Styela clava: one gene and its partners. The protein of the gene in region 1 purifies or fractionates together with the protein of each later gene. This does not show direct contact. Links are inferred from orthologs where the notes say so. Each region holds a gene or a part of one and is shown in the gene's direction. Other genes may lie near its edges.

Region 1 (10,893 bases):
GCAAGCAACATCGCTGAGCGACAGGCATTCGATAATAAACTTCCAGCTGAAAGGTGAACTGTCTCTTTCCAGCTATTTTCGTTCATAGGAAGTCCCGAAAGCATTTCGACATCACAAACTGAATCACTTTCTGGTAGAATTACAAGTGAACTTGATATATCTTTAATCGATGTTGACATGAGATCTACAACTTGAGTGTTTTGCAGTTTTGCTAAGCCAGTACATGCATTAGCAAGTAAGAAATCACCTCCTAATACTGCAAGTTTGTTACCAAAGTCAATATCTGTTTTACTTACATTCCCAACAATCTGATTCACATCCACAATGCCTCTATGGACGAGGAATGCAACATGAATTAGTTCAGTAACTTCAGCCAAAGCACGTTGTTTTTCGTAAATCTCTGTTGAGGTAAAATCACTTTCTATATCTGTGATTCCAGCTGCTTTTGAAATAAGTAACACAACCAATCCTCTTGTTTGTAAATAATTTTTAGAATCGAACATGATGCCTCTTGCTGTATTTAGTAAAGGATGTTTGGTGCTTATCAGTTTTCTTAGGTGTAATGCAAGTCCACCAAACTCGTCACTCAATAAAGCTCTTAAACTTAGAAAAGACGTCGGAAATCCAACAATTTTCTCAGCTTCTGAGACGGCTTTATGCCAAGCATGATTTGTTCCATTTGGTTGTGAGGTTGAAAATACACTAATTTCACGAGAACAGTTAGTTAGCCTTCTCCCTAATTTGAAGAAACTGTTCATGGTGGCAGTCCTTATGAAAATTCATCTATCAATTTACTATAAACTGTTTTTATAGAGACAGAATTAAAAAGTATTATAGACACAAGCAGACAATCGGGAATTTTCGGTATTTATTCAATTGTTCACTGAAAAATTGATCAGTTGATTCTGTGATTGGTGGTGATCATGCTGCCAGGTGTCAAGATGAAAGTCGAATTAATTAGCAATAGCAATGCATTAATTAAAAAATCCACAAAATTAGATTAATACCTAGATTCAAGATTAGGCAACAACCAGTAGTGGAATTCAAATTTTTTGTCAGCCGGTTCCATCACACAAATGTCATATTATCAGCCGGTTCTGTTACAAAAAGTCATGTTTTTTTTCAGTAATGCTAACCGGTTCGCTGAACTCATAAAATTCTGTGAGACGGTTCTATAGAACAGGTGCAAACCGGCTGAATCCCACTACTAGCAACAACACAAACTGACAATTGTTATCACTCAGCTTATTTCTGAGTGAAAGAGTTTATGAGCATGCAATCATGTTACTGAACCTTGCCACATCTTATGGCAGTATGATGGTTAATGTACTTTCCAGTAGTAAAAGATTTTCCCATGATTCACATTCAAGTACCGGTACCTGACTTGTGAACTACACGGAAACCAGTGGATTAATTTATAGCTTATTAAACGAAGATCGAGTAGTTATTGAGGTTTTAAATGTTTTCGTTGGGTTTTATTATAACTAATAACATGATGCCAACCTATTTTTCCACAGAAACAATATTTCTCTCAATCATTACACTCGAGGACCGAAGTACTGAATACATATGAAAAAAGTAAATGGCCATAGCATTACTATCAATGAATTGAATGAGATAGCCTACAACAGGGGTCGGCAACCTACGGCCCGCGAGGCAATATAATCCGGCCCGCGACGCTTCACTAAATTATATTTATAGTAACAAAACAGCTGTTTTGACGATTATATTCTTTACCTAACATAATTTATTTTGAGACTAAATTATATTATATCCTAACAAATATATAATTCACGATTACTCGTTTGATGAGCCTACAATTTAATTATAATCAGACAAATGGCAACAAAACGCAGTAAAGTTGATGCTGAGTGCGAATGGTTCATTGGCGCAGAAAATATTCAAATGATCAGTCTTTGTGCGCTGCTCAAACTTTAACTCTTGATCTGTGTGAAAAATGTGATTAATCGGCTATCCGTTCGGATATTAACTTTCTAAAAATATGTGCGGCCCACCAATGACTTGCAACCTTTAATTTTGGCCCGCGAGCGACAAAAGGTTGCCGACCCCCGACCTACAACATATATCTGTATGCAATGTTTCACTTTTTATATTTTCGATATATTTTAAGTATTGAAGCTATATAAATATATATGATCATAAAAATATTCCAATTGTTTTTTAATTCAAAAATTTATTTTGAATGAATTTTCACAAATTCAATGTCATAACAGTGTAAACAATGGGTGAATATAAAACGCTATTACTGTGTTACTGACTTACTGTTTATATCGCATTGTGAAACCCAATGGATGCTTTGAAAATACAGAACAAAACTGCTGAAACTATAAAATGTACCGTACCATTATCATGATATTCAAATATATGAATATGCTAGTAAGATACCGTGATTTTTTCTATAACACAACTCAAATGTCATATACCCTTGCATTGTACTGTTGTACCTAACCTATCGCATCTTATATCCAAAATACCGGTACAGAAATACAATGCGACAGCCGACACATGCTACCTGTACCGTACCTAACTGTTTGGAGATAACCAATACCGTACCGTAACGCTGCAATACCATTTTTTTATAATAAATGTAATTTTATTTATAATAATATAAATCATTACATACAGATAAGACATAATAAATTCCATAATGAATATCGAACATTTATCATTTCTTATCGGCAAAACCTTCCCGCTAAAGCACATGGTCATGCTCACGCACCCGCACCACTTTTTCAAATTAAATTTCAGAGTCAAATGAGATAGGTCCTATCCTACTTTAGTAGAAACAGGAGAGGTGTCGTTTTCTCTTAATATCTATAATTACCAATTTTTTAAAATCTCATCTCCTACGGTATTTAATGAGCTGGCGTATTGAATATAGAGAGTTGGAATGTAATAATTCTGATCGCATTTTGTTTCAAGTAAAATTTCTGAACACGACATTTGCAACACGCTTCTTGGTTTTGTTATTGATGTTTGCTGCAGGCAAGATAATTATTAGATAAATTTTGATCATACTATATATCGTTAATTCATCTCTATTTTCGGTTATTTTTCTAGTTTATTCAGAGATCTTCTTTCACTGTATGATGCACGAAAAAAAGGATGTGGAGAACCTAGCTTTGCGAGAACAAACTTCTGTCCAGTGTCACGATGTCGGAACTGCAATTCTGCAAAATTCGTTTGCATAAATTTACAGTCTCGGAAAAGTAGGTTGTCCGAGATTTCAATATTTTGTCACAAAATTACATTTTTGAAAAATACGTTTACGCGAAAATTTGTTCTCGCAAATGCTGTTCTCGAGAAACTGCATTCACACATGAATCAGTTTGCGCAAAGCGTTCGCATATTTTCTTTCAGACAAAGCTGTATCGCAAAATGTTTTCTCGAATATTCAGATATTTTTGTCAGATTTATATATTTATTCAGATATATTATATAGTATTTATTTGGAGTTTGATTTGAGTCAGAGCACTACCGGCACGGTAACGCCAAAGTGACTATAAATAGTTAGTTATAGTCACTTTGGGTAACGCCAGTCCAGTAACGCTGCGCGAGTAAAGATGCGCGAGTGCACAACTCCAGACAGACAGACGAATGTTTTTTGATAAAGCACCCTGCAGCCGTAAATTCATTTTATTATGTGCAAGGAGATTGCGGGGCTCCTCAATGCCATAGCGTGGTTCACGGCAGAGTCCTACTCATACATAGACTAGCTAAGAGGCTAGTTCGTTTTGTTTTCTGAAAATAGCAGCTTCCCACCTACAGACCTATCAATACTGCAATAGCTGCTTATGCAGGGCCTTGTTCGGTGTGAATAGTGTGGAAATATCATATAAAAAACTGTCATTTTTTTATATTTATTTTTTATTATTGCTTCTGCAATACTAATACAGTAATATATACGAGCAGGTTCAAGGGGATCCAAAGAAGAATAAAAGATGGCGGCAAAGCAACTTGTTAATTTGTCAAAGCACATTCGTGAACTTCGAATACATTTATGTCAGAAGTCATCATCCAGTCAAGGAGTTCGAGATTTTGTAGAGAATAGATATGTCGCAATCAAGAAAGAAAATCCTGGTTTCCCAATCCTTATCCGAGAATGTAGCAACATAGAACCGAAAGTCTATGCTCGTCATCCATTTGGAGTGGAATATAGTGCATCGCTGGCAAACCAATCGTCTAAAGAAGTTGAAAACACAATTAGCTCACTTTTGACACCATCAAGCTAGCCTAATCTCTTGAAATATATTTTTTTTGTTGACTGAAAATATTTGTATAACTCTGGTCCAACTTATTAATGCTGAACTGAGGAATTTCATATTGTTATATTAAGATTATATTGTAATTAAAAGGATTTAAAACGAACAACAAACCTTTTCAAAAATGTTCCTCCAATTTTTGGTATTACAATTCTTTTCAATGTATGACCAAGTTTTGTTTGATTTTAGTTGTATCAAGTGTGAAATTTATCCTCGTAAGTTAGGCTCATTTTTGTCTTGTTTCTCTTATAGACAAATATGCCATATGTACCGGTATACTTAATAGCATATTCGAATGTTGTTTCTAGTATCATATAAATGGGATTTAATGTATTTTGGAAATATAAATCCAAACTTTTGATCAAACAAAAGCTATCAAAATATTGAACCAGATATGATATACCAGTATATTTTGCGCTATGTTGTCTAATTTTTTGTGTCTATTGTTTAAGATTACAAAATAGAATGATTCAGTTAAAATACTACACATTTGACGAAGATGAGATTTTTCAAGATTGAAATGTTTTGTGAACAGGATTTATATCTTTGACATTATAATGGATGATAATTGAACATCAAAATCTACAATGTCAAATCATACGTTGGATATTGTTGGCCTGGTAGTGCGAAGAAATTTGAAAACTCTGAAAATAGAAAACGACACTGATGTCGATGCATTAGTTGAAAAGCTGTCTGATCTTACTCATGTTAGATTAGATAGAGAAAGATTGACTTCTGTTCCTTTGCTGGACTTTCTGCCTTGCATTACCAATCTTTATTTACAATGTAATCACATACAGGAAATGGTTAACTTTTCCATTTTAATTAATTTGCGATTTTTAACTCTGGCTGAGAATCGGATCAATGAAGTGAAAGGAGTAAAAGACTTGGCAAATTTGGGATTTCTTGATTTAAGCGATAATTGTATCGAAAATTTAGTTACTGAACAATTGCCAAATAGTTTGATAATATTAAATTTGACTGGAAATAGATGTATAGAAGCATCTCATCATGTTGGAAGCATCTGTGACAAACTGCCAAATTTAAAATTTCTCAATGAAAAATCGGTTGATTGCTCCATCAGCTCGGATGAAGATGAGAGTGACGACGAAGAAGAATTGAGTGACGATGAGGAGGAATCTCAAAATGAAAAACCTAAAAATATTGATGAAGACACTCATAATAAACCGGCTTTTTATGATAAACTTACCACAGAAATAACCGAATCGCTGCATAAATTTTCGACTGCTATAGGTAACGGAGAAGTGAAACTTAAAGATGATTTTGATTATTTTACTTCTATACCAGAAAGCCCAATTCCAGATAAAAATGTTGGTTTTTCTGAGCAAGAAATTCGTCAGTTGGAGAAAGATACTCGAATTACTCGTGCAGATTTACCAAGTATTAAAAGTCCTATAAGAAAAATATCTCCACATCCACCTAGTGGTAAAAGAATCGGAAATACAAATCCTAGAAGTCGGACTAATTCTGCTAAAGAATCTCAGAAACCAATCGCAAGAGTGCGAACTCCGGGTGCTAGACCATTCAAAAGAGTTGTAAATTGAAATATTATTGTATAAATTTTACAGAGGCATATCATGGCAAAAAGATAATCAGAAGTCCATTTTGTTTTAGAATGAGTTCAGAATGATGCAATTAATATAAAATCCTGAAATTATGAATCTTGTCATTAGTCAAAACAAATACTATTCTATTAAAAATGTTCACGTTCCTATCAAGTGTAAATATTTGTATGAAGTTCTCTCTAATTTATGTCTATTCACCAAGGGTATAAATTTATGACAATTGTGTACAATGTATTGTTGATGTAATAAAATTTAATGAAGGAGGTCTTTTCTTGTATTCTAACGAATTGCTGTGATAAACATCATTGTTTTCAGTTGATTTTTAAATCCAATTTTTGTATTATCAAAGCATTTCGGCTCGAGTTTATGCTTTATTATGAAACACTAAATTCTGCTTTCTTGCATTGCACAATTTGTGAGCTACATGGGGAAAAGTATTTGAGATTTAAAATTTTATATATTTTTGAATTGACATTTTCACATTAACTAATACTTTTTGGAAACATAAGGAAACCTTGATTTCTGAAATAGGTTAATAAATGAATTTGACTTTTATATTCAATAACGTGACATGGCTGAAAATTCGCAAAGTGTTTTGCTTGTTTTCTTCATACTTGTCAACATTCAGAATAATGCTTTTTTTCTCAATGTTGTATTTATTTTGATTGAAAAGCTGCTTATATTTTGATATTTTGTATTTCCATGGGCACATAAGTTTTTGTCTGTAATCCAGTTGGTTTTATCCTATCTTTGAAATTGATACTACGGACACCCCGAATTCCAAAACATCAACAATATATGTCATGCCATCTATACTTCTGGTATATGTAAATAGATATGTAAATTTTGGTGTTCAATAATCCGAAATAATAGCAGTTTTTGAATTTTGAATTCTGACTATTGGTAGTTGGCATTGGTATGTTTATCCATAATTATTGGTAAACAGAATACTTCTTTCATGATAGATTTCTAATATATCTACGTTGTGGGTATTCTTAGTAATATAAACTTTCATATGCACATTTTATTTTTGTAGATAAATTTTTCTGCTATCTGATAATAGGTAATATTTAATTGAATTGTGTCATCTCTCAACCATTTACAATGTCAAGTAAGTTAAACATGGTGATCATGTTTTGAAAGCCTTATATGCAATTGTAAATATATGAAATGAAAAAAAAATGTTACATATATGTTAGATTAAGATAATGTTATTTATTTCAAAAATTATTCTACTCTAATAAGAAGATTTGAAATAGATTCAGACTGATTTCCATGGTGTGTCACCTGATTGAGAGTTGGCTGATCTACCACGATATGTATTGGTTGATGATTTTTGTCTTGTACAGCTTTGAACCTCAACTATATTATCTATTTGCAGGAAGAAGCACAAGAATCACTACTGCTGCTTCAAGTGAAAATATAGGAATGCCATCAGCACAAAGTCACATCTTACCTAACATTGCAGCAGCTGTAAGCATAGTATTGTTGTTTTCTTATTTTTTTAACATTACTTTTTGTTGTGTTGATCAGTGTCAACCCTTGTCTACTGCTTGACCGTTTGTGTAAGAAACAAGTTGCTCTTAGCATGCAGTTTTTAATAGATCCCTGGTTACTACCGTATATGATTGATTACCATTTCACATAGGACAAATAAGATAGGGTTATACCACAGTACTTGTTTTCCCTGCTTTCCTCCCAAACTATGTACCATGAGCGTTCTGTGATTAGTGCATTGTACAGAGTGCAAGAAAAGTGGTACATGTCAGTTGCTACATGATTATTGATTTCCCTGTGGTGGTTCATAGGTTGAAATCATGTTTGAGAATAGGCATGTATAATAGAGTTGCTAAAGTACTTAATTTTCTCCGTCATCCAATTAAATGCATAACAGGTCGAAAAATTATAGTGAATTGCCATATAATGAAGCTGTCTTATTTACTTGCTTCACTCCTACGGATAAATCAGAAAATTTCATACAATGCTTGAAATATAGTTTTGGATATTGGCAATATATTTTGTTTTCAAGTATGAAAGACACCATTTCGTTGCAATCAAAGCCTACCGCATTTTCAACTGAGTATAAAATGTATCTGTTAAGTAGATTTATATTTTATAACAATATTTGTGTACTTTTCAGACTGCTGGTTCGAATCAATATTTTCAAAACTACTACAGCCATCCTGCTAATACTAGACTATTGATTGGAAATCTGTCACAAACTGGGGGAAAGAGACATGGATCTGTTGGGGTATGTTGTTTACTGTGATATGTTGAACACCTATCGTTTTACTACAAAAAAACTGGACTTACACTTATTTAGTGTATTTTAAATTGCTTCGTAGGTATTGTAGTAATCTTAATTTTACAGTAATATTTTTGTGACTCATTGGAAGTTTTATCCATTTTTATGGTTTTGAGAAATACTATTATATCGGTCTTCGTATCAAAATTTATATTAATTGTGTTAATTTTTTTATTGTTAGCGTGCATTGCCGAAGCCACCAAAAGCACCTGAAAAGCCGTTGATGCCTTACATGAGATATAGCAGAAAGGTAGTAGATTATTACTCATTTAGTTCTTGAGTGAACTCTCAAATCATTGGGGACAAAGCTCCATATAACTCTTAAAGCATACAGAAATTTCATTTTTATTTATATGAACACTAACATTGAATTTCAATCTATTTTACTTCTCATTTTTACAATTCAGGTGTGGGATGATGTGAGAGCAAATCAGAATAAAAATCAAGATTTAAAATTGTGGGAGGTTGGAAAAATAATTGGACAAATGTGGAGAGAATTACCAGCAACTGAGCGACAACAATATATGGATGAATATGAAATTGCAAAAGTTGGTTCTTTATATAAACTGGAAATGCAAGGCCAGAAAGCTGATTCGAAACCACAGGGACTTTGTCGCTTTATTTTTTTTACTCTGAGCTCTAACCTTTGACCTCTGAAGTTTTTGGTAGCTCAAATGCAGTTTCATGGTATTCAGAATTCAATAGTTCCCAACCTTTTTCCTTTAAATTCCTCCCTTTGCCTATTTTGGAACTTTTTATTCCTCCCTCACTAGTCATGGGATCAGTTATTTATTTATTTTCAGAAGAATGGACTTGATGCGGTTACGTGAACCACCCTACGGCGGTGAGGAGTCCAGCAATCCTCTCGCACATAGCCATCACCGCATGGGATTCGAACCTGCGAATCCACGCAGAGTAATCAGAGGTGCGGTGGCGAGCGTATTCCTAACGCTTAGCACGATGAGCCATACCACCTAACTATAATGCATTTTAAATAAATGTTTCAATTACAGGTGGAACATGTTGAACTGTTGAAGGCATATCAATTATCACCAGAATATCAAACATATCTACAAGCTAAATCTAGAGGTTTGTGTGAAGTATTTCATTCAATTATTATAATGTCGTAACTAGATATGCTACTTTAGTTCAGACCAACTATATAAGTCCTATGAGATATAAAACATGGCCCGTTTTCCATTTTTCATAGTTTCAATAACCGCAATTGCTGTTATTAAATATCACTCATGTCTGGATGGAGCATTAAGAGCCAAATCTGGTGCCATAATCACCCTATTACCCTACCCAACATAGACTGATTTCCCGACGATAGGTCATTTTTCACCGTTTGATTAAGTTGTCAGTGTCATATCGCCTTTCTCTTCTCTATATAAATACAAATCTTATGCACCGCCTTTCTCTTCTCTATATAAATACAAATCTTATGCACATCACCTCTCAAAAATTTAATATTTGTCTGATTTTTCAAATTTTCAGCTGAAGCAATCATGGCTGCTACTGAAGGATTAGCAGACAAAGACGATGCTTATATGAGCATTGAACCTATTGATGAAACTGTTGGTAAGTAAGAATTATTTTTATGTCAAATACAATTACTTGGATCAGTGATGAAGGTTTATTTATGGAATTATGGTTTGATTGGGGAAAAAAATTCAAACTAAGTCAGCGATAAACTCTATGGAAAATTAAATTTAGATCAAAGTTTTGGTGTACGCTAAGAGTGTGCAACCTGTGGCCCATAGATCATATGCGGCCCACAAGGAAAAATTGTGCCGCTTGCGGAGAAGTGCCAATTTTGAATGCGTAACGAGTTTTTAATTTAATGTACGAGTAATTACAATTCCTTTGCATTACAAAGCTCATACCAACATCCTATTAGCTAGTTTGTGCAAACAAACAGCGTGTGTCATAAGATCTATAACTGTCCCCAATGTCCCCAGAACCTCCTAAGCGCAGCGCTGTTTTTTTCCTTATTAACAAGAGCTATCCACCCATTAGTAACCTAGCAAATACTACTTTTCATTGCAGAGGATTCAGATATGTGCTACTCTGTGAAGCATGTTGCAGCTGCTAGATTCCAACGTAACCATCGATTAGTCAACGATATATTGGGTGAAGCAGTACATGTACCTAGTACTTGCGTTGTGGTGACATCACAAAGACTAAATGTTTTGAAAAATCAAGTGCAATCATTAGAGCTACATCAAGTATGTTGATTAGTAATAAAGGCGTGAAATAATAGTCATATAAAAAAAGTGTGGTTTAAAGATTTCGAATCCATTAGAAATTGGTTATATCGGTATAGGAAATTCTTGGTTTTGGGGATAATTTGGAAAAGTTTGTCGTTTTCAGCATTTCAGATTGATGCTGTGAAAATAGAAAATTAATGAAACAATGTTCGTCCCAACTATATTAAACATTGACACAATGATGGGATAAATATTCTGCATTATCAAGTTCAATATTTATATTTTAATAATGATTATTTAACTATAACCCTTGAACTATATAACGGTTGAAACGATACAGAATACTTCTGTGTTAGTGTGCAGCAAAACTCTTGAACATTCTTGGAATATTTTATTCAGAATATTGTCGACCCTTGCCTTTGTGGTACACTGATGAAAAATCATAATAGCTCAAATAGATAAGGATCTGATCATGTTACAGCAAACATTAAAAAAAGAAAAATAATCAT
Region 2 (10,788 bases), on another chromosome or scaffold:
ATTCAAAGCATTTCCAAAATATTTAAGAAAGGTATGCATAAGATAAACAACAAATTGAATCCTCAATAACTTTAAATGTTGTACCCAAAGCGACAAAAAATCCTGTCACATATTTTAATGGGTGTTTTTTTCATATATCGGGCAATTAAGATCACTATAGCATGCAGATACCTAGTATTTTAGCTTATGGTAATAGACTTGATCTGTTATGTATTTTAATTTTTAGTTTATCGGAATAACTATATAAAATCATCTGTTTATGTGATGTGTGAGATTTTTTTTTACAACAAATGCCTTCTAAATTTTTTAAAATTCTCGTTTTTTGCCACATGCTTCGGTTCAACGCATCTAAAGTGGGACATGCTCATGATCATCAAAATTTCTTGCAGGTCAACGAACAGCGAAAGTCATCGACAAAAAGAAAATTTCATTCATGTGTAAGGCAGAAGTGGTCAGTGCAGGAGAAATTTAACAATGTGCTCCATGACCACTCATATTCACAGGTCATTGCTTCACCTACAAAGTTAAAAAAATTAAATCTCAGCTTACAACATTTAAAAGCAGTAAGAAAACGTCTCCGGCTTTGCCAAAAAAAAACATATCGATTGCAAAAACATGTAAAATCTCTTGAAACGGTGCTAAAGTCCCTGAGAAAGAAAAACTTGGTGAGTGCTTCATGTGAAGAAAGTCTACAGCGATCTATACCTTCATCAATCTTCAATAGAATTTTAATGAATTTACAAACTGGAAAAGGCGTCAAATATCCCAAGGAGCTAAAAACTTTTGCTATGACTTTACAGTTCTATTCAAATAAAGCGTATCAATATGTGCGGAAAGTCTTAAATCTGGCTTTACCACATCCAAGCGTAATAAGAAAATGGTACCAGAAACTTCCAGCTGAGCCTGGTTTCACAAAAATTGCATTTGATGCGATCCGGCTGAAGGTGAGTGCTGCATCGCACCCATTGATTTGTGCTATGATGATTGATGAAATGGAAACATGTTGCTTGGGATGGAGAAAGGTCCCATTGATTTGTGCTATGATGATTGATGAAATGGAAACATGTTGCTTGGGATGGAGAAAGGTATCGAGGCTTTGTTGACCTGGGAAATGCTGAAAATCAGGATGATTCTGCCCCACTTGCCAAGGAAGCTCTTGTTTTGATGGCTGTTTGTGTGAATGGGTCCTGGAAAGTACCTTTGGAATATTTTCTCATTAATGGATTGACCGGAGAAGAAAGAGCAAACATCATACAGATTGGGATTCAAAGATTGAGTGAAACTGGAGCCAAGGTGGTATCCTTAACTTGTGACGGGCCATCTTGTCATTTTTCAATGCTCTCTCAGTTAGGAGTTGTTGCCTCGCATGTAAGCATGCAATCATATTTTTACTCATCCTTCGTGCCCATCTGAGCGGATTTATGTTTTCATGGACGTTTGTCACATGCTTAAATTAGTCCGAAACACCCTTGCACCATGCAAGTTGATATTGCTGCTCAAACCCTGAGCAGCAGTGTTGCAGATGCGATCGAATACTCTGATACGGTGCTGAAATTCAAGCAGTTTAGTGGAAGCAACTGTAAAATTTATCAGAATTTTTGACCAGCTTTTTGATGTGCTAAATTCCAGAAATCCCTTCGCTAAACGATTTAAGGAGCCACTAAGACCTTCAAATAAGCATATTTGGTAACCATTCATGAATCAAGCATGTGCATACATTGCACAGTTGAAGGATTCTTCAGGAAGACCAATCTTGATGTCAAGAAGAAAAACTGGCTTTATTGGCTTTTTGTTATCTGTATCCAGTGCAAAAGGCGTGTTCAATGACTTGGTCACTTCAAAATATTTAAAATATCTTTTAATGTACAAATTTAGTCCGGATCATTTGGAACTCTTTTTCTGTGCTGTAAGAGGTGCTGGGGGATTCAATAATAATCCAACTGTGCAACAATTTACTTCTGCCTATAAACGACTGCTTATGAGAAGTGGGGTAAAAGGCACAGGAGGGAACTGTGAGCCCCAGGATGCAACAAGCATTTTGAATGTTTTGGACAGCTTCAGTCTGACTAATCATAATATGAGTTTAAGCTCAGTATATTTTATGAAGAAATATGACCTTGAACCACGGACTCCACTAACTTCTGACCATGACTATGCTGACATACCTAACACAATCAGGTTGTCAGAATACAAGCTTCAAATAATCAAATATATTGCAGGATTTGTTGCAAAGAGGCTGCGAGATACCATGTTTTGCATAAAATGCAAGGAGGCTCTCGTATCATCTACTGATCATACTTCAAGTTTAATATATTTTAAAAACCGTGGAGGATTAACAGTTCCGTCAGCAAGTGTTATAAAAGTTTGTAGAGAAACTGAAAAATGTTTTCAAAGAATATTAGCTACCTCTGGAGGTAGACTGCCCTAATCCCCTGGGCTCATCAATGCTATCGTTATTGCAGTGCAAGATGGTTTAATCGATAAGCCTATTTTTCCCGACCTTGTAAACCACTGGCGCGATACAGGGTTTGGTGATTGCCATATTAGTTTGATGGGGAAGGCCATTATTAAAGCATATTGTGGCATAAGGGCCAAACATATGGCACGAGAGTTTAATGACCAAGCTTCTGCAGTTAATGTAAGAAAAAAATTGTCAAAGTTAATTATATTTCAGCACCAGTGAGGAAAATTTTTCGTCATTTTCTCAACAGGTCATGCATTGGCAATGAATAATTTTAAAATAAAGTTATTAAACAAGGTCAATCATTGTCTATTTGTATCACATTTTTCATCCTGGCATGGCCAAAATTACGTAATGTGGGTGATAATTTGGAACGGAAACCTAAAATAAATTTTAAGTTTAAAATTTGTTTTAAGAAGTATTTCCAGTCTTTTCTGAACAAGTACTGATTCATACCTTTTATCTCGTACGTTTTCATTTGTGCGATATAAAATGAAACGCTTTTTTTGCCACTACTGTTTTCAATTTTGTCCTATTTGTGTCATTACTATTGTTTCACGATTATTAGTTACAATAAATTAACATGCTTTATTATAGGTATAATGTAAAATGTGAACCGCCAACCTTATTCATGTGGGGGAGATGTTTACTTAGTGTGTGTTATTATTTGTTTGGTTTGTTGGCTAATGACTGGATGTTAAATAAACTTCGCTATCTATCCAAGTTTTCTGATTCTTATTATATTACAGAGGTGTGGCCAAAACTGAATAGGCTATACAGAATACCGTATTTGCTCGTTTAATAGCCCGGGCGCTTATTTTTTTAAACAAACTCACTAACCGGGCCCTTATTCAAACCGGCGCTTATTCAAGCAGGGGCGCTTGTTATTTTTAAAGTAAAATTATACACAAAAATTACGGTACCGGTATCTTTGAAGACAAATATTTGACGACATTAATCCTTTTTCCATGTCAAACGCAAATTATTCACGTCTTAAGAGTAATTCCCTCATATTACGCTTCTTATTTCCTATTGCTCTTTACCACTGAAAAATCAGCTTTCACACCGGGCGGGTATTCAAGCACCGGCCCGTATTTATTTTTATGTCCTGTTCACACGGGCGGCTATTCAAACGGGCGCTTAATCAAGACCGGGCGGTTAAACGAGCATATACGGTATGTTATGAAGTTTTTTTGAACTTTGGAAATCGAATATATTCTAAATTGGAAACAACTTCATTTGGAAAATTACAATAATCAATGTCTTAGCTCCGATAACATTTTAATTAGCAAAAAATGGTATTAAGGCGCACAAAATATGAAGCCGGGCTAGGTAAACTATGGCCAAATACAAGAAAATGGGTTGGCGATTCCGGTAAGCCACTCGGAGCAATGTAGCCTACTGTGTGATTGGTTAGGCAATATTATTCATCCACGATTAATGCAAAATGAAAAATTAGCACGGTATGGCGAGCTTGGATGTATTAGCGTTTCATACATAATAAGAAACGAATCAAGCGAATATACAAAAAAAATCGACGCAAATAATTGGTATCTGTCAAATCCCATATGAAATACATTACGCGCTACGCAAAATTTGGAAGTCTAACGTCAAAACGAGAGAGGCTTCAAATGGTCCCGCGAAAACGAGAGAGAAGCACACTCTATATTTATATATCTCTGTGGCAATAATGAGGACATTTTAAATTATTTTAGACTCCGAACACTACTATTTTCGAACAGTGACACCTAACGATTTATATTTTCCATTTTCATCCAGCACTGTTAGCACTAAAGAGCTTTTGAATTTTATCCGGCGCAGTCATCGCTGGACTCCAGGACTATCAGCATTCGTCAAGTACGAAGTACCGGTACCGTGCCGGGACCGGCACGGTGAACCTGTAACACGTACCCGAATGTTACCCATACAGTAGTATTGTTTTGTCACAGAGTTTAGACTTTTTCAACTATTATACTTCAGGAGATCATGCCCCTCTGCCTCTGGAATAAATACCGGTACCGAAATATGATATCGGTACCGTGCCAGTACTGGTACCGGTAGTCCAGTACCGTAACTAGGATTGTTTTATGTTTACTCCTTTCTGTTGTCAAAAATAATTTTACCCCTTATTTCTGTATTTACTTGTCATTCTTGTTTTTTTATGTATTTTTATCTGTAAATCTGTGTGAATATTTCAAATGCTGCCTTCAAATTTTGATATTTTCATGTAGCAAGTGCACGGCACACTAGCTACAAATCGGATGACATTGTCCCATTCCAGAGAAACCCATTTTACAGATGATCAGACACCCCTCTATTGGGAGACGTCTGGACATTGTTGTCCCTCAATAACGGTAATAATACAGTATAATGAAGTTGCGCAAAATACTACAAAAAAGCGCAATCTAGTAACGGCATCATTGAATTCCTTGGGAAAAAATAATCCGATTTACTGAAGGAAAATTTTTTTTATTGTATCATTCGAGAGTTTTTAGCAAAAAACGGCAATTTTGGTCATGTTTTGGCCGCGATTAACTTAGATTATTATTTGGACAAGCATGGTGTGGTATGACGCATCTGAAGTGGTCCTATACGCCCCTCGTTTGTGAGACACATAGAGTCCTTGTTTTATAGAGCTAAATGGAGGGAAATTTTTGGAGTTTGCAGTTCTTCAATCACATGCAATTATGCCTCAATGTGTTTGCGGCCTTTGCGTTCGCTATGTACCGGACCGTACTTTGTCATTTTTTCAATTTTTATGCGTGCCTCATTTTCCTATCACATGAAACATCCGACGAGCCTGTCACTGCTGCTCGTCGAGTCTCTTTTGATTATAATTGTTATTATGTGTGTTGTTTTTGGTGAACGAGCATGCGCATTACATGCTATAAACTTTATTCTTGAGTTTTGCTCATTTTTCAGGCATTTCTATAATATGATTTTTTTTTACCCAGTGTTGTGTTTTCAAAATGCCAAAATAAATTGTATTGTAATGCCTGGATTGAATAAGTTCATGGAATTATTGACATAGGTCTGTAGGTACCAGTGCCAGATTTTTGATTTTACTATAAAATCAAGCGAAATTTTTTTGACACCATGTATAATTCTTGGGTCTAGTATAGTTTAGTACCACAAGTACTTTCATTGGGCGTAGCATAACGAATTTTGCATATTTATTCCTAACCACCACCTGACTATGCCATTCAAAAATTACGTCACTACGACGTCACCCTAACGTCATAGGGCTTGCCAAATTATAATTACGATAGCCCGAAATGGCATCTGCGCTTCCGATAACGAACTCGCTAAAGCCGGCGATCTCTCTCCCTATCGTGATCGTTGTGACAAGAAAACGAGAGAAATAGCTTGCTCGTTTTCAGGTGATCGTCTGCGCGATTTGAACGACCATCCGCATACTTTGGTGGGTCTTATTACGTCACTGTGACGTTGAGATGACAGAATTTTTCGGTGACGTAGTCAGGTAAGGGTTAGGATTGACATATGCAAAAATTGTTGAGCCAGGCTAACTAGAAGTGCATGTTGTACTAAACTATACCAGACCCTAATTCTTTTTTTTCTTTGCTAACAATGATTTTTTATAAGTTCGCTTCAAAGTCTCGATTTTATAAAAAAAAATGCTATTATGTAGCAAACTAGCCATGTTGATTCATCTGGTAACACACACACTTGACCTATGTCATAAATTTGACATATTTAATCCGGATATAAGGTTTTGCAGAATATTATACATTGCCTCTAAATTGACATGATGTAATTTATCATGCTTTCGCATTTTTCTCCTTATTTCTGTAACTAATATGCTGAATTTCTTTTTTTAAATTATCTATCATCTTCAATATAAAGCAATTCTATAAAATTCAATAAAAATTAACTAGTTGAACAAATTTTGCAAGAGTTCGCTGCCTCAAAGTTTACTTTATACCAAAAAAAAATGGGTAAAACATTATCACGCCAAATGCGCTGTACTGGGATTCAATTTTGATACCAAATCATTCACTAGGATTAGAATCTTCATATATTATTCTGAATTCTGACCATAAGTTTATAGATTTTTACTACAGTGTTTTCCCGAGAATAAGACTGGTTTTTTTTTAAATTTTTTTCCGAAAAATAACACTAGGGCTTATTTTTGGGGGATGTCTTATATTTTCATTCATCAGAAACAAAATTACAAAGTAGAGAATTGCCAGATTTTCAAATATATACAAAATATGAAAACCAATATCTATTTCCTAATAAATAACACGTTTTTATTCAAAATGTGAGTAGGTAGGTCAGATCTGATTATAGAGATCCACTTTATATATTATTATTCTACTAATTTGAATATCTTTTTATTTAACAATGCAGATTGACTATTAATAAATATGTCTAGTGTGTTTGTGCCTCAACATGTTCGTGGAAGCAAAGGTCCTGTTACACAAGAAACTATACAAAAACTTCTGGATGAAAATAGTCATTTAATTCAATGCATTGTTGATAATCAAAACAGCGGGAATAGACGAGAATGTGCACAGTATCAGCAAATTCTACATCGCAATCTAGTATGGTTGGCTACTGTCGCTGACTCTAATCAAAGCAATGCTCAAAACTTGCTAAATCAAACTTCACCCAAACAGGGTATCGGTGGAATGCCAATGCCACAATCGACCAAACTTATGAAATCTGAGGCATCAAGTTTACTATCTTCTAGTGTGCCAGCACCCGAGACTTCAGCAATAGTAACCCTGCCGAATCAAACTGTCCCAAAAGCAGCAACACCCAAACTGACTGCTGCTAATCCTTCTACGGTATCGCCAGCATATGCTTCACCTCACAGATCGTCACCACAAACGAAGACTCCATACAGCCAGCCACAGCAAGGTACTTTTCCAGCGCAATATCGCAGATCACCAAACTCTGCTGGAAGCAGAACTCCTATGAGAAGTCCAAGTGACCCAAGTCAGCCTCACACACCCGTCCCACCAGCCCAGCGACAATCACCACTAGCTACGACTTCGATGCCCCCTCAGTATCCACCACAACAACAGCCAATGCAGAGTAATATGCCAGTGCCGAACCAGGCCACAACTTCTTTTTCACACCCACCTCCTGCATCTTATCCACAGTCCCAGGCTTCATACAATCAGCAGCAGCTTGCACCTGCGTCGTACCCTCAGCCTCCACCAGCTTCATCTTACTCCCAGCAACAACAAATTCACTATCAGCAGCCTCCTCCCCCCTCATCATACAGTCAAGCACAAGTCTATCCACAGCAGCCACAAGCAGGTCCTTATAATCATCAGCCGTCAGGATATGGCCCACCACCCTCTAGTGGCTACCCGCCAAATCAGAGTGCACCTCACCCAGGGCAGTCATCTGCAAACTATCCGCAACAAGGACCCCAACCCCACCAATATCCAACTTCTACACACCAAGGAATGATGCAGCAACAAGGCCAGCCCCTTCCTTATTATGGGAGACCTGGCCCACCACAGAGCTCAGCTGGCTACCCAGGATACCCTGTGCCACCAGCCGGGCAACAAATGCCTCCACCTAGTCAGCAGTACACACAACAACAACCCCGTCAGCAGTCTCCAAACTACTCTGCTCAGTATGCAACGCCACCATCTCAGCAAAGTCCCCATTATAGTCAGCAGCCTACTGCCCCATCACAGGCACCGCAGCAGCAAATGCCTTATCAGTAATCACAACCTGATTGCCATGTTGTTTATGAGATTATACAGTTGTTTTTGTCGTAAATGAAGTATCACATGCTGCCGTAATAACTTGATCATTATATTTTTACATATCATTCGAAATAAAAAATCCGGAACGATTTACTGATTATATTGATGAGTTTTTTTTACACACAAGTTGCTTGTGAAAGGGCTTGATATTTCGTTGTGCTTCCATACTGTACATTTTGTATTTCAAATATTGTTCCATTACCAAGCGAATCATGATTTGAAAGGGCAATTACAACAATTTGCTTCGGAATATCATGAAATTCAAATAGTTCTGTATATTAAATGAATGTTATCATAACAATAATATTAGAACTGTTTTTGCTTGCAATAATCTACGTTCTTTTCTTGAATTCTGTGAATTCATCTGTTTTTTAAATTGGACTGTTTTAGATATCGGTGTTTGTCTTTCATAACGTCACGGACTCACTGCCCTAATTTAAGAAAACTTGAAAACGCTATTTATTTTTAAAGTAATCAAGTCATGGAAATATTATATAGGGTGTCCAAAAAGTTTCGCCCGATTTTAAAGTCTTTATAATCAAAAGTTTTTTTTTTATTTTAAAAAAAATTTATAGTAAACCTGTTTCTAATTGGATGTTATAGATATTGAATGTTGTAGTCCCCATTTATCATACAACAAAATTTATTCAAATTTGCAATTGGTAATGCTATGAAACGGGCGGAACTTTTTGGACACCCTGTATAGACATACCGTACTTCTTGATTATAACAGATATCAGTTTGGATGCCTTGAGCCTTTGCATTTATACTTTTGTTGCAATTTCGTTTTGTATGTGAATAGTTTTTTTTTTCTTTATAAACTTATTGCTATAGCTCAACCAACAAATGAACTTCATTAAATTTCATGCGAATCAATATGATGCTTCCAATGAGTGAAACGATTTTAGAAAATTTTAAGGCGCTCCCATAGTATGTGAACCAAGACGCAGACACCAGAACATGGTATGTGTACCAGGTTGGGGTTAGGCCATAATTTTATTTCAATTTTCCTTATTTTAGTTCGATTACGAGTTTGGGGACTACTAGCCAAGTGACTCGCATAGTATTTGTATCTAAAATCATGACCTAATTCTAACCTGGTCCACATACTACGTTCTGATGTCCACCATCTTGGTTCACATACTCGGAAGTACCAATTTTGAGTTAAAATAAAAATGTCATCAAATCGAGGGCTTCAACCAAAAAGCGCGAAACTTGCCAAAACTGTCTTAAATGAGAAAAATAAACTCCTGAAACTTTTTTTAAATACTTTGGCGAATATTATTTTTCAAATTAAAGTTTTTCAAAATTTCCTGTCACTCAAGCTTGAGCGACTGGAGTTATATTTTTCTTTGATGGTTAGTGAATATAATTCAAAATCACAACCAAAATTAAAATAATTATTCTTGGGTAAACTTTCGCATCAAATGTTATCTTAATGGGTTCAGTTTATATTTAGTTTTGAAATATTCTAGATTGAAATGAGATGGCCTGTTATTACATTAATAACTTTGGATAGATACACCTCATTGTAGGTGGAAATTTGGGTGAACCTTTATACTCAAATATTTCGAATTTTGGAGTGACTTTTCGTAACCATGTCCATTAGAGAAGGATGAAAACCACCCGATTTATTCTGTAGTAAACCAGAACCTTATCTCAATATGATATTGAAATAAAAATCGACCTGTCATCGGTTGAGAAGTTCTTTAGCTCAAACTCTCTTCTGATCAGAAAATGTGTTATTAGCGTAAATTTGTAGTTTGTCATTTTGTACCGTAGTTCACTGCACTGCCATTTTTTAAATTTAAATAAACATAATTTTGAAAATAAGCATTTCATTAACCTATGTGATAACTGGTAAGAGTAGGCATCTCACTCACTTTATATGGCCAGTGACTTTTGTCATGAATGGGACACGTCACTCGATATGATGTAGGTCAATGTTTTCCAATCGCTCTTGGCGTAATCCTTTATATACTCAAAAACTCATTCTTCCTCACTAAGCATAAAAACTCTGTTATTCAATTTTTGAATAGATGATAGGCGCCACTTGCACTGACTTTTGTACAGCTTGAATTATTTAGTATAAATATTATTACGATACAAAAATAACTTTGTGATAAAGCAAAATTAAAATGTTTCCATTTTCCGCTGTAGCTCTTAGCTTATGCGGTATAACCCAGATATTAGAAATTTCACCCCTCTTGGAAACATGGCAATTATCACATGCCAGTTTGGAACGCAAAAAAAAGAGCAAAAAGTTTTGATATAATTTAATTGAGGTGCATTTTTAAACTTTGCCACGGGCGCCTTTACGTAGATACCTCCGGTCTGGTTATGCCTAAATTCATGTGAGAAATTAACAATACTTCTCGAATCCTTTGCCCAAACTTCGCAGCCAACGTTATCGCGGTACAAAACCGGCAACGTGTCTCACCATACCTTATAGGTTTCCTGAACTAATTTGCCTATTGGGAACAAGTCTCCATACAAAATTATATTACAGTAACACTTCTGTATTATGAAATAATGCAAATTGAACAAATTAATGAACTACACAACTATTTTCCAGAT
Region 3 (9,956 bases), about 4.5 Mb from region 1:
TTACAGAATATTTGGAAAAATATTTCTTTTTTCAGATATGGAAAAGCTTCATATTGCATGGAAGAAGTCATATTGTCGCAACCTCTCAATCATCTATATCACCAAAGATACGCAGAGGTAGTTTATATTTGTTTAGTCATAAGTCGGATTAGACCAGGGATGGGTAACTTATGGCCAGTAGGCTGCCACATGCAGCCTCTCAAAGCATTCTGTGCGGCCCCTTGCTTTTGGAGAAAATTGTAAAATATCTTAAAACTTCGTACAAAATTTAGATTTATTCCTAAACTTTATTTAAAATATCTAAACTAAACTATGAATTGTTAAAACTTTATTACTGTTTTTTTTTTTCATCTCTGGCACACAATGGCACTATCATGGTGATCCTTTTTACCAAAGATTTTATGAATGCATTCCTTTAAAAAAATATTTTTTTGCCTCTGTATCACACCGTAGCTTATCGTGTTTTTCTCCTATATTGTATGTCATGAGGTGAGATTGCCCATGTATCACTTTAATGTCTCACTTATGAACCTCATTACTTATCGATCTTAAGATCGGTATTTGTCTGTTTGTTTATTTGTTTGTCTGTTAGATACACGCGATATCTCACGAAAGCGAGGTTGAATCTGCTCCAACTTTTGCATGTGCATTCATCATAGTTCGGAACAGGAGCCTATTGATTTTCGATGAATTATGTCGTATATTTAGCGAGTTATTGATTAATTAGTGAGGGGACACACGGTGTCACTATAGAGTAAGAGCGCTGTTTTGGGGATCCCCTAACCTCCGATCGATAAGTCTTCGGTCTCCGACCGATATTCTCGTTTGAAGTGTTGGCAACTTTTCTGGATTTCTGTCCTGTTTGTATGTCTAAAAGTGTAAGTTTAAAATAAATGATCCCATCTATCACATTAACTACAAACTCAATGACACACAAAACAAAAATAGCATGGTAGTAGTTCAAACAATACACACTTAATCTTACCCATGTCTGTCAATCCATAAACAACAAACTTGGGATATGTTTCACAATCAGGGAACGATGGAACACAGTGGAGTGAATATTACCAATCAAGAAAATAAAAGTCTCGTACAGTAGGTTGGAATCATTAATAGTGGACCATTGCGGAGATATGGAGAGTAGTTCCAGTTATTGACAAAATAAAAATAAAGTTTGAATCGGTTGTAATTTTTCACCTAAATATCAGGGAATAACCATGCTGTATTATTTTCAGATCAAATACACACAGGGTGGAATGGAGAATGTATCATTAGCAAGAGATTACTTTGCAGAAGCAGTTTATTTAAGTCGTAATTCAAATATGAGGGCATTGTATGGATTATTGCTGGTGAGTTGGTCTTACTTTGATGTTTTATCACCTTTTTACTCGTTCAAAAATGTTGACAAATTTTATTAAAAATTGGGTATTTTACAAATTATGATTTTGATTTGAATAATAAAATCTTATTATTTAGATCTGAAAAAGCGAGGTATTAAATACTTAGGAGCGGCTTTTTAGATCTTTCTCGGTTGAATTTTTTAGGTTCTACTCTGCATTTATTGTTTGATTCAAATTTTCTTTTTAGGCGTGCAACCAATTATCATCCAGTAAAGCGACAGATAAGGAGAAGAAAAATAATAGCAAATATGCAAGTTGGGCAGCAAAGATGATTCAACTTCAGCATAAAGTATTTATTCTTCATAAGTTAAAGTATTGACAATGCAGGCTATGCTGCCAACCATGCTACTGTACCATTCTAGATGATATTTAATAAACTGGGAAAATCATTTCCGAATGGCTTCTAGATGTAAAAATATCATGAGGGCGATCATAACAAATTGGTATGTGATGTGAGAGATGCGCCGTCTCCGTGGTTGCCCCCCAAGTTAAGAGGGTTGGGGGGGTCAAAACTAGGAAGGGGATAGGATTTTCACATTCTTCCCGGGGGAGAGGAAAGGCAATAACAAGTCCTAATCACATGGTGTGCCAGGGGGCTCTTGACCGGTCACCATTGCATTGTATTTCTAATCCTTGGTACGATGGTAATTGCGAGTGTTTGTACACAAGCAGACTATATTTTTTACTAATTATTAACAGAATCATGGCAGTGAAGAACTTGGTGCAACCCGCAGTAAAGAAGACTTTCCAGAATTAACGACTGGTGGAGTTACAGACTTAATGAAGGAAATGCATTTGAATTCAACATGAGAAAAAGTATTCAATTATCTCATCACTGTTTGTGTTTTCCGTCCACCAAAAGAGACTAAAGGATTGTGAACAGAACAGTGGTCTTATTGTTGAAATTTTATTTATTACAAGGTTCCATTCTTTGACCTGGTATTCCAAACAGGACAAAAATCTAACCAACTCCACATTTAAAAAAATTCTGGCACATACAGAAATTTTCAGAAAATCAGTGCTGTCATTTTTGTTTTATTACCAGTTTGATGTGATGACTGCTTCTCCTGTATAAAGACATCTTTAACAATATTAAGAAAATTAAACGAATGATGTAGTTGAATAGTCAATCTTGAATGGTGCTTCATGAAATTGAGTTCTAATAATTGTTTCAGAGGAGTAGTCAGCAAACCTTTTGCACTGTTGGGCCAAATTTGCACATTCACGGCAGCAAGTGGGCAATATCAATTTCCGCCCATAAACAATCACCACTTGAAACCTTAAATTGTGACACACCCGCAACTATTATTTATGTGCTAATTGCTAGCAAATACACGACTTACAACTGGCATGTGCTTTCGCTACTTACCGGTACTACATACAAGCACCGTACAACAGAATGAACAGGTATACCACATCTTTGAGCTGGTTTTTTTTATGAATTAAGTTGGGCCCTTCGAAGGCTATGAAAATTTGTTCAGGTACCAGTTTGCCCCCAAACTTCACTCCCACTTTTCTTTTTCAATTGCAAGTAATGATACAGAATCGGATTTAAGAATAAGTAAAGAGATGAAGAAAGTATTAACACAACAATTTGACATACTCTTATGTGTTTGAGAACCAAGCACTGAATGTACTACTGCCTTATTAAAGGCAATTCGCTGTGTTCATTTCGATATGTCTTGATTGTCATAGGTTAGAACAAATGCTATTTTTCTGATTCTGTGGTTTTAAATGATCTCCTTCAAATCGAGGAAGAATGCAAATTTGTGATGTGTATTAAATTATTTGCGAACTTTATTTATGTTGTAATTAATATTGCACCTCTGAAAAAGGTAATAAAGATCACTGATTCAAAGTTTGTTTGTATTGGAAGGGGTGTCCTGGTAAATGCCAGCCATGCGATTTTCAAACTGTTTGGTAGGGCAGGGCCCCAATGAAATATTCTTCCTGAAGCTTGAGACACTGTACACATAACATTATAGACTCAGATTTGAATGCAAATTCCCAGAAACCCTGGCCTAGAATGTACTCGAATCCTGTTTCGAAACCACTGTTATATAGCAGATTTCATGAGCGAACAGGACTTGAATTTAACTTCCTTACACCAGAGCAGCTCCAACCTGTAACTGCTATTGAAACAACATATACAAATTGTTAAAATCTCAATATGCTTAATAATATTGCACCAATGAAGAAATCAGAAAAATAAATAAAAACACTGCAACAATCAATCACTGAAATCGTCATTTGAAGATAAACTTTGACTCTCGTTATCAGAATCTTCATCAGTTGGAGCTTGTCCACCATCAGGTACAGGGGCATCAGGCGTACTGAAATTAACACAAAGTACTGTTATTGCAAACATAGGTATCAATTTCATGCTCATTAACATGGTTAAAATATTCATCTGAAACCTATCAAATTGCTGACCTTTTTACAAACCAGACTGGTATATATTTAGAATAGCCATGGGAGAGAAAAGCTGTAGAGACAACCCTTTCATATGCACACTACATCCTCGCATCCGATTACCAGTCCATGTCAGCTATAGCATTAGTTGGTGGTTTTTTTGTTTGAAATTTGAAAAAAACATCACCAGATCCAACTTACTCGAGCATATCTGGATCCAAACCTTCAGCCCTCATTTTATTTGCAACTGCCATCTTCGGTACACCTACCATCACCATCTTGAGGTATTTGGCATATCTAGAAGTAAAAAATTGTTAAGACCAAATATACCAGAAGAAGCGATGAGTAAAGACAAATTTTTTAGAAAAATAACAGATAAACTAGGAAAATTTTTTTAGAACAGTACCTGGCATCATTCTTAACTAATACAACATTAGGATCAGGGGCAGGTGGTTCATTATCTTCAGCAGGGGGAGGGGCCTCAACCCCATTAGGGGTAGGGGTACTGACAGGCTCTGTTGAGGCAGGTTGAGTAGGTGACGGTTCCTCTTTCTTGACATCATCAAGGCCAGGAATGGATGAAAGCTAAAAATACAATTGAAATTAAGTTTTGGGCCATCACATCAAACTAAGCCAATATGCATTTTGTAAATCAATAGACAGAACGTATTCAATCAGTCCTATAATTTTTTTTTAATTTTCTCCATCTCAAAAAGAGAAGAAATAGTTTTATTTGAAGTCACATTCAGTTTACCATAGTTTGCTATTATAAAATAATGATCGATCCAATTTTGTTTTCGTCATCGATATAATATTAATGAATATATATATATGAGTGATATTGTCACAATTGTGTATAACATTTGGTGATTTGGTGAAAACTTTCAACTATCAAGCATATACCGATATAAACAACAGCTATTGTGTAGTCTGATTGTTGAATGAAAATATTTCTCATTTGTTGGAAAAAATAAAGTAAAGTCACCTTAGCTTCTAATATATTCAGAGCTATTTCCATTCTTTGCATCTCTAACGATTGTAATGCCAACTTTTCCTCTGCCATGTTTGAGAATTTATTGAGAAAATTTGCAGTGTGTGTGATAAAGTGGTTCATAAATGTCACAGAACGCCGTTGATTAAGCGGCGCCATCTTGAAATAAAAAATACGCAGGTAAATTATCATTTTATGGAAGAATATTTAATGGTCTAGTTTACAGTAGCGGTACCAGTAGAAAAAAAATTATCAAATATTACGTACTTTTGTAAGATCCACAGTTGGTCCCAAAGCGGGAAGATTAACGTCATCCATTATTTTGAACTGAACTATTTACTGTCCATATATTTTGATAATCGCATATATTAATCTTATTCCGTTTTTTATTTAGCTGTATTTTATTTTAGTAAAAACAACAACATTTCTTCAAATTACAATGTCCGCTGCCTAATCCCTCTCTATAACAGCGAGCCCAGGATACGATACGGTGAATGACTTTTATAAGAACAAACCAAAAATCAGCAGACGATCGACAGTTGAGAAAAAAGGCAGCAAGGTGCCTTATAAAAATTAAATAAGCGACGTCGCATTAGGATAAACAAAGGTATAAATGGATAACTTTGGAGGTGCGCGCATGTGGACCTGCCAATGGGCCAAACACACCAAAAAACTATTGAAAATTTACCCCAAGCTTCATATTTTTAGCCTGAATCGATGTGGTAGATTTGTCACGTGATCAGCCGCCATTACAACGTTCTTTGCCCAGCGGTCGTTCTATCCGTTGAGCGCAGTCAGCGACGAGGTGACGCATAGACAAAGAAATAGCACACGGCTTATGCGGGACCTTCCTCATGCGTATGTAATGTGGGAGTCGAGCGTTTGGGTTCCAAATCGGCCGTTACTGCATGATTTGTCGAGTATCGAGAGTTGATTAGGCCAAGTCGCGAAAACAAAACGGCGCGCTTCAGATATTTTTGCCTTCCCTTGGCCTAAAAACAAAATGGAGGCCGTTTTACATTTTAGCCACATTATTACCTCACCAAAGACGTCGATTTTTCGATTTTGTGACGTTGGTAAAACTTGGATTTTAAATCTTTTCTGGCCGAACTTAATTTCGCTTCACTTGTGTCAGTTTTGGAAAAAAGAGCGGAAAATAGTTATCAGTTTACAGGTTTTGGTGTTAGAGCGTCGATGGCAATTACTGAGTTAGGAAAGCCGGCAAATCGTTGTTGGGCAGTATAAGTGCGTTTATGGAATGTTTCTGCCCTGATTTTCGTAGTATTCCCGAGAATAGGAGAGACAAATATATATGATATTAATTTATCTAATCCAGCCATACCAAATTCATCAGAACGTCACATCGCCTGATTCAGTAGATATTACCTAAGCGTTTGAATTCACTGCCAGCCAGCTGCCTTGTACACCCGATCGCGGGTATCGCCCGTGGAAAGACGTATCACTTATTTAGATTTCCCGCTTTATATTACGCGACTTGTGCGAGAATACCGGCAAAGGAGAGTTGATAGACTGATTGGCAGCCCGTTTTGCAAACGCTTCAAGGAGTACAGGCAAATATATCTGACGTGCAAAGGTAACTCATGCTATGTGTTGCTACAGCTATATATTGATATTATCCAATGTTCCAAGCAATAATTTTTCAATATGGAAAGTAGGAGAGATTCACACAACTCATCTGAGCAAGGACAAAAGGAAGCTTTTTTAAATGAGCTTAGTCAATTTCTTTCGGACAAAGGGTAAGCTAAAGCCATAATACAATTCAGTTAACTTCTTGTACTACTTAGGGCATACACAAGCATAAATCATAACACACTGATTTTTCATCTAAACAATTTTAAGTCAAGTCTTTATTGCATCATATGTATTAAAATTTGAAATCCAAATTTAAAAATTTATTTGATGTTAAATCTTTCACGTTTTGATTTTAGAATTAGTACAGTAGTAGATTGTTTTATTTGTTGAAGTGATTTTTTCTAAACCTTTATGTTATTAATATTTCAGGAGATATGTTTGTCGAACTCCAAATCTTGCTGGCCGAACGATAGATCTTCACGATTTATACAACAAAATTACTCAAGCTGGCGGATATCAGAAGGTCTGTTGTTGATATTTATGTTGATGCATTTTCTCTTGTTTCTTTCTCACTGTTTTGTATTAGTGAACCTCACTGTTTCTTCATTTTATTTCAGTATTTGTACAATCAGACAATTTATGTAATTTCACTCTTGGTGAAGCATGTATGTGTTTATACCCTTTTTATTTTTACTTATGGCTTTTACAACTTATGGCCATGGCTTGACTTCCATGATTTATATTTTGTCAAGCGACTAAAATTTTTTGATATGTACAGTAATATATATGTTGGTATTGTATCTATGTTTGCAAATTCCAAATAATTTCATTATTTATATGCTGTTTGATTCGGTTTAAATTAATATAGGTAAAATATTACCACACATATTATGATATTAAACTAAAATCCTCAAACTTATTTCAAGATGGTTTTAATTTCAATGTTTTCCAGATTTTCACATATGGAAATTTATCGTGGATATAATTTTTTGTGAATTATTCTTGTTGTAACTAAAGGCCATTATCTTGATAATAGCTGTATGCTTGCTTTGGTTATTTTTTTGCCCGATTTTTGCAGTCTTAGCTTAGTGACAAAAACAAATATATCTGCGTAAGGTAATAAACCACAACAATTCACCTGTATGCATAATTTCATTTCAACATGCTTACAAACAGTAACAACTTTTTTTCTGAGAGTGTTTAAGTGACATGCAATTTCATAGTTTTTCAGTCTCCAGATTTCATTATAATTTTATTTACATAGATACTATGCACAAATAGTATACAGGCTTTTCTCTGAATATATGCTGCAACTTGACTAGTTGTTGGAAATTGTTCTCTATACTGCACGCCAAGTAGCACTGGCTACTGCTACTAACTAACATCATCGAGTGGGGGCTAATTGTGTTTTATGTGTAAATGTAATCTAACCAATGGATCAATTCATTTTAGGTGACTGATAGAGGGTTTTGGGAAGATTTTTTGGAATACTATGGGTTTCCTGGAATATCAGCGACTCTTGCCTTTGGATTGCAGAAGATTTATCAATTGTAAGTCTTTAAGCCTGCCTTGCCTGCTGGCCAAAGCCATAATATTTTGAGATATTATTAAATGTATTTTGAGGTTTTGGGTTTAATAGAGAAGTAGACGAAACTAATATATATTTTAATCAAACTCAATTTAATAGAAAAATATTCGAAACGAAAGTAGCAGGTACATGCTAGAATCCTTATTTACACCAATCATTTTCATTGTTTTGATGAACCCATGTTAAGTCAGTGATACATGTTCACTTCAAAATGAAGTCAGTTTGAAAGCTTTGAGATGCAGTTTGCTAATGATACCATTGGAATACTCTCTTCTTATTCGTAATGTATAGCAGCTGTGTGTTGTGATTTTGAAAATGTAGGGTTGCATTTATAAAATTATTTGCTTTTCTATGTTAATTAAAGCTTTCCACAGTTTGAATTGTTGTTTAGAAAAAGACAGGATTGCCAATTTTTTGTCAGTGTATAATATGTCAAATTATCAAGTAACCCATTTGTCAATAATAGGAGCTAACAGTCCATAGGTTTTGTGGAATTTGAAACAAGACTTTATAAAACTAATATGAAAATACTGTAGTATTTTGTTAGGAGTCTCTTGTAGAAGGTATTTGATTTGTTAAGATTCTGTCTGGCGCAAGTAGAATTACTGTGGAAAGACTTCTAATTGTCTTATTTTACACAGGTTTTTAGCCTTGTCTCATTTTTCATATTAACGTATACCTTCAACGTTTTACTTTTACTCATTCGTAGATATTTAGAAGATTATGAACGGGTTCATTTCTTTGGTGACGATGAGCCACAACCTTACTCTCGACTTTACGACGGAAAATTGAGAAGATTCAGATATCCAATATCTGGTTAGTTTTTTTTAATATTTTGATAAATTTATCGAAAAGTGTTTTATCTGTAGGTGAATTTTTTCGTATATATTTCGACGAGAATTCTCATTTCAATGAAAAGTTTGTTATTAGAATTTTTGTGAATTCTTTGCAACTATGGACTTCAACTTTTATGATTGAGTTTACCTTGGCATGAGAAGGTACTAAATATAATTTATAGTAACTAACCATCCACTCTGCCCTCCATACCTTTGAGCTCATGGTAAATGTATAATTTAAATATGCTGTAGCAATAATAAAGATGACTATTCTATCTGATTCGAGAGACTATTCTATCTGGCTGCACATCAACACAAATGTATTTCTGTAACTTTCGTTCCTGCAAGATTGTTGAATCACAGAGAACTATTGTAATAATAACCAAGAAAACTTATTCGATATAAAACATTTTTGATCTAATATTTATTAATTCAAGCAAAAATAATGTGGTTGTTCTGTATGTGAGATTCATGTGGCACATAATACCAGTATATAAATTTCAGAGATAACTAACTTGTTATTGCCATTTGCCAATGACGTTGTATATGTTAATGCTGGAACATTTTATCCAAAAATGCCATCTGTTGAGCAAAGCATATGATACCCACGAGACAATTGAAATTTTTTGTAACCTGACGAATAGCAGGAAATTATGAAAAACATGTACATTTTCCACAGTGTTATGTCTCTTACATTATATTTTGCAAATGTCTACATTAGTGAACCATAATTTAATTTATTATTAATATGCTATAATGAATACAAGAGCATTTAGCTAAATTTGAAATCAAGAAAGTGCTTTGGGCAAATGAAGGGTAGTTCAATAGTAATCCTTATACTTTTCAAAAGTATAATAATATGATTTTTATTCTTCAATGAGGCAGTGATGAGCAATAAGAATTAAACGGACAGTATATTTGAGCATTATTAGCTTATATGCAGTTTCAATGTGTGAAATTGTTAATAATATTAAAAATTTGGTAGTGTATGTACCAGGTTAGACAATAATTTTATTTCGATTTTCCTTATTTTAGTTTTATTACGGGTTCAGGGACTGTCTGTGTTGGCAAACTAAATATACCCCCTGTCCATAGGTTTCAGTCCCTTTACACAACTTGATGCAAAGTAGGTGAAC

Evidence for each region.
Region 2: the proteins of SWI/SNF-related matrix-associated actin-dependent regulator of chromatin subfamily E member 1-like (region 1) and uncharacterized protein LOC120342568 purify together in Homo sapiens (affinity purification with mass spectrometry; 4 studies listed by BioGRID and IntAct, counting the BioPlex papers as one, with this or other methods). This does not show direct contact. The link is inferred for Styela clava from reciprocal best matches to the Homo sapiens genes SMARCE1 and SS18.
Region 3: the proteins of SWI/SNF-related matrix-associated actin-dependent regulator of chromatin subfamily E member 1-like (region 1) and uncharacterized protein LOC120331925 purify together in Homo sapiens (affinity purification with mass spectrometry; 7 studies listed by BioGRID and IntAct, counting the BioPlex papers as one, with this or other methods). This does not show direct contact. The link is inferred for Styela clava from reciprocal best matches to the Homo sapiens genes SMARCE1 and ARID2.

What each region holds. Positions count from the first base shown.
Region 1 is NC_135255.1:11,566,041-11,576,933, reverse strand, and holds the start of SWI/SNF-related matrix-associated actin-dependent regulator of chromatin subfamily E member 1-like, read left to right. Parts: upstream 1-6,899; 5' UTR 6,900-6,973; coding exon 6,974-6,980; intron 6,981-7,250; coding exon 7,251-7,342; intron 7,343-8,009; coding exon 8,010-8,120; intron 8,121-8,355; coding exon 8,356-8,424; intron 8,425-8,581; coding exon 8,582-8,722; intron 8,723-9,187; coding exon 9,188-9,263; intron 9,264-9,671; coding exon 9,672-9,755; intron 9,756-10,223; coding exon 10,224-10,402; intron 10,403-10,893. Other genes in the region: all trans-polyprenyl-diphosphate synthase PDSS2-like, read right to left, coding at 1-758; leucine-rich repeat-containing protein 46-like, read left to right, coding at 4,871-5,848. UniProt on the Homo sapiens protein: Involved in transcriptional activation and repression of select genes by chromatin remodeling (alteration of DNA-nucleosome topology).
Region 2 is NC_135252.1:18,835,022-18,845,809, forward strand, and holds uncharacterized protein LOC120342568, read left to right. Parts: upstream 1-6,033; 5' UTR 6,034-6,849; coding exon 6,850-8,169; 3' UTR 8,170-10,044; downstream 10,045-10,788. Other genes in the region: uncharacterized protein LOC120342202, read right to left, coding at 10,776-10,788. UniProt on the Homo sapiens protein: Appears to function synergistically with RBM14 as a transcriptional coactivator. Isoform 1 and isoform 2 function in nuclear receptor coactivation. Isoform 1 and isoform 2 function in general transcriptional coactivation.
Region 3 is NC_135255.1:16,057,003-16,066,958, forward strand, and holds the start of uncharacterized protein LOC120331925, read left to right. Parts: upstream 1-5,450; 5' UTR 5,451-6,468; coding exon 6,469-6,560; intron 6,561-6,825; coding exon 6,826-6,919; intron 6,920-7,848; coding exon 7,849-7,946; intron 7,947-8,693; coding exon 8,694-8,800; intron 8,801-9,956. Other genes in the region: ER membrane protein complex subunit 2-like, read left to right, coding at 36-117, 1,236-1,349, 1,588-1,689, 2,100-2,210; WASH complex subunit 3-like, read right to left, coding at 3,631-3,733, 4,014-4,109, 4,219-4,397, 4,798-4,962, 5,071-5,121. UniProt on the Homo sapiens protein: Involved in transcriptional activation and repression of select genes by chromatin remodeling (alteration of DNA-nucleosome topology). Required for the stability of the SWI/SNF chromatin remodeling complex SWI/SNF-B (PBAF).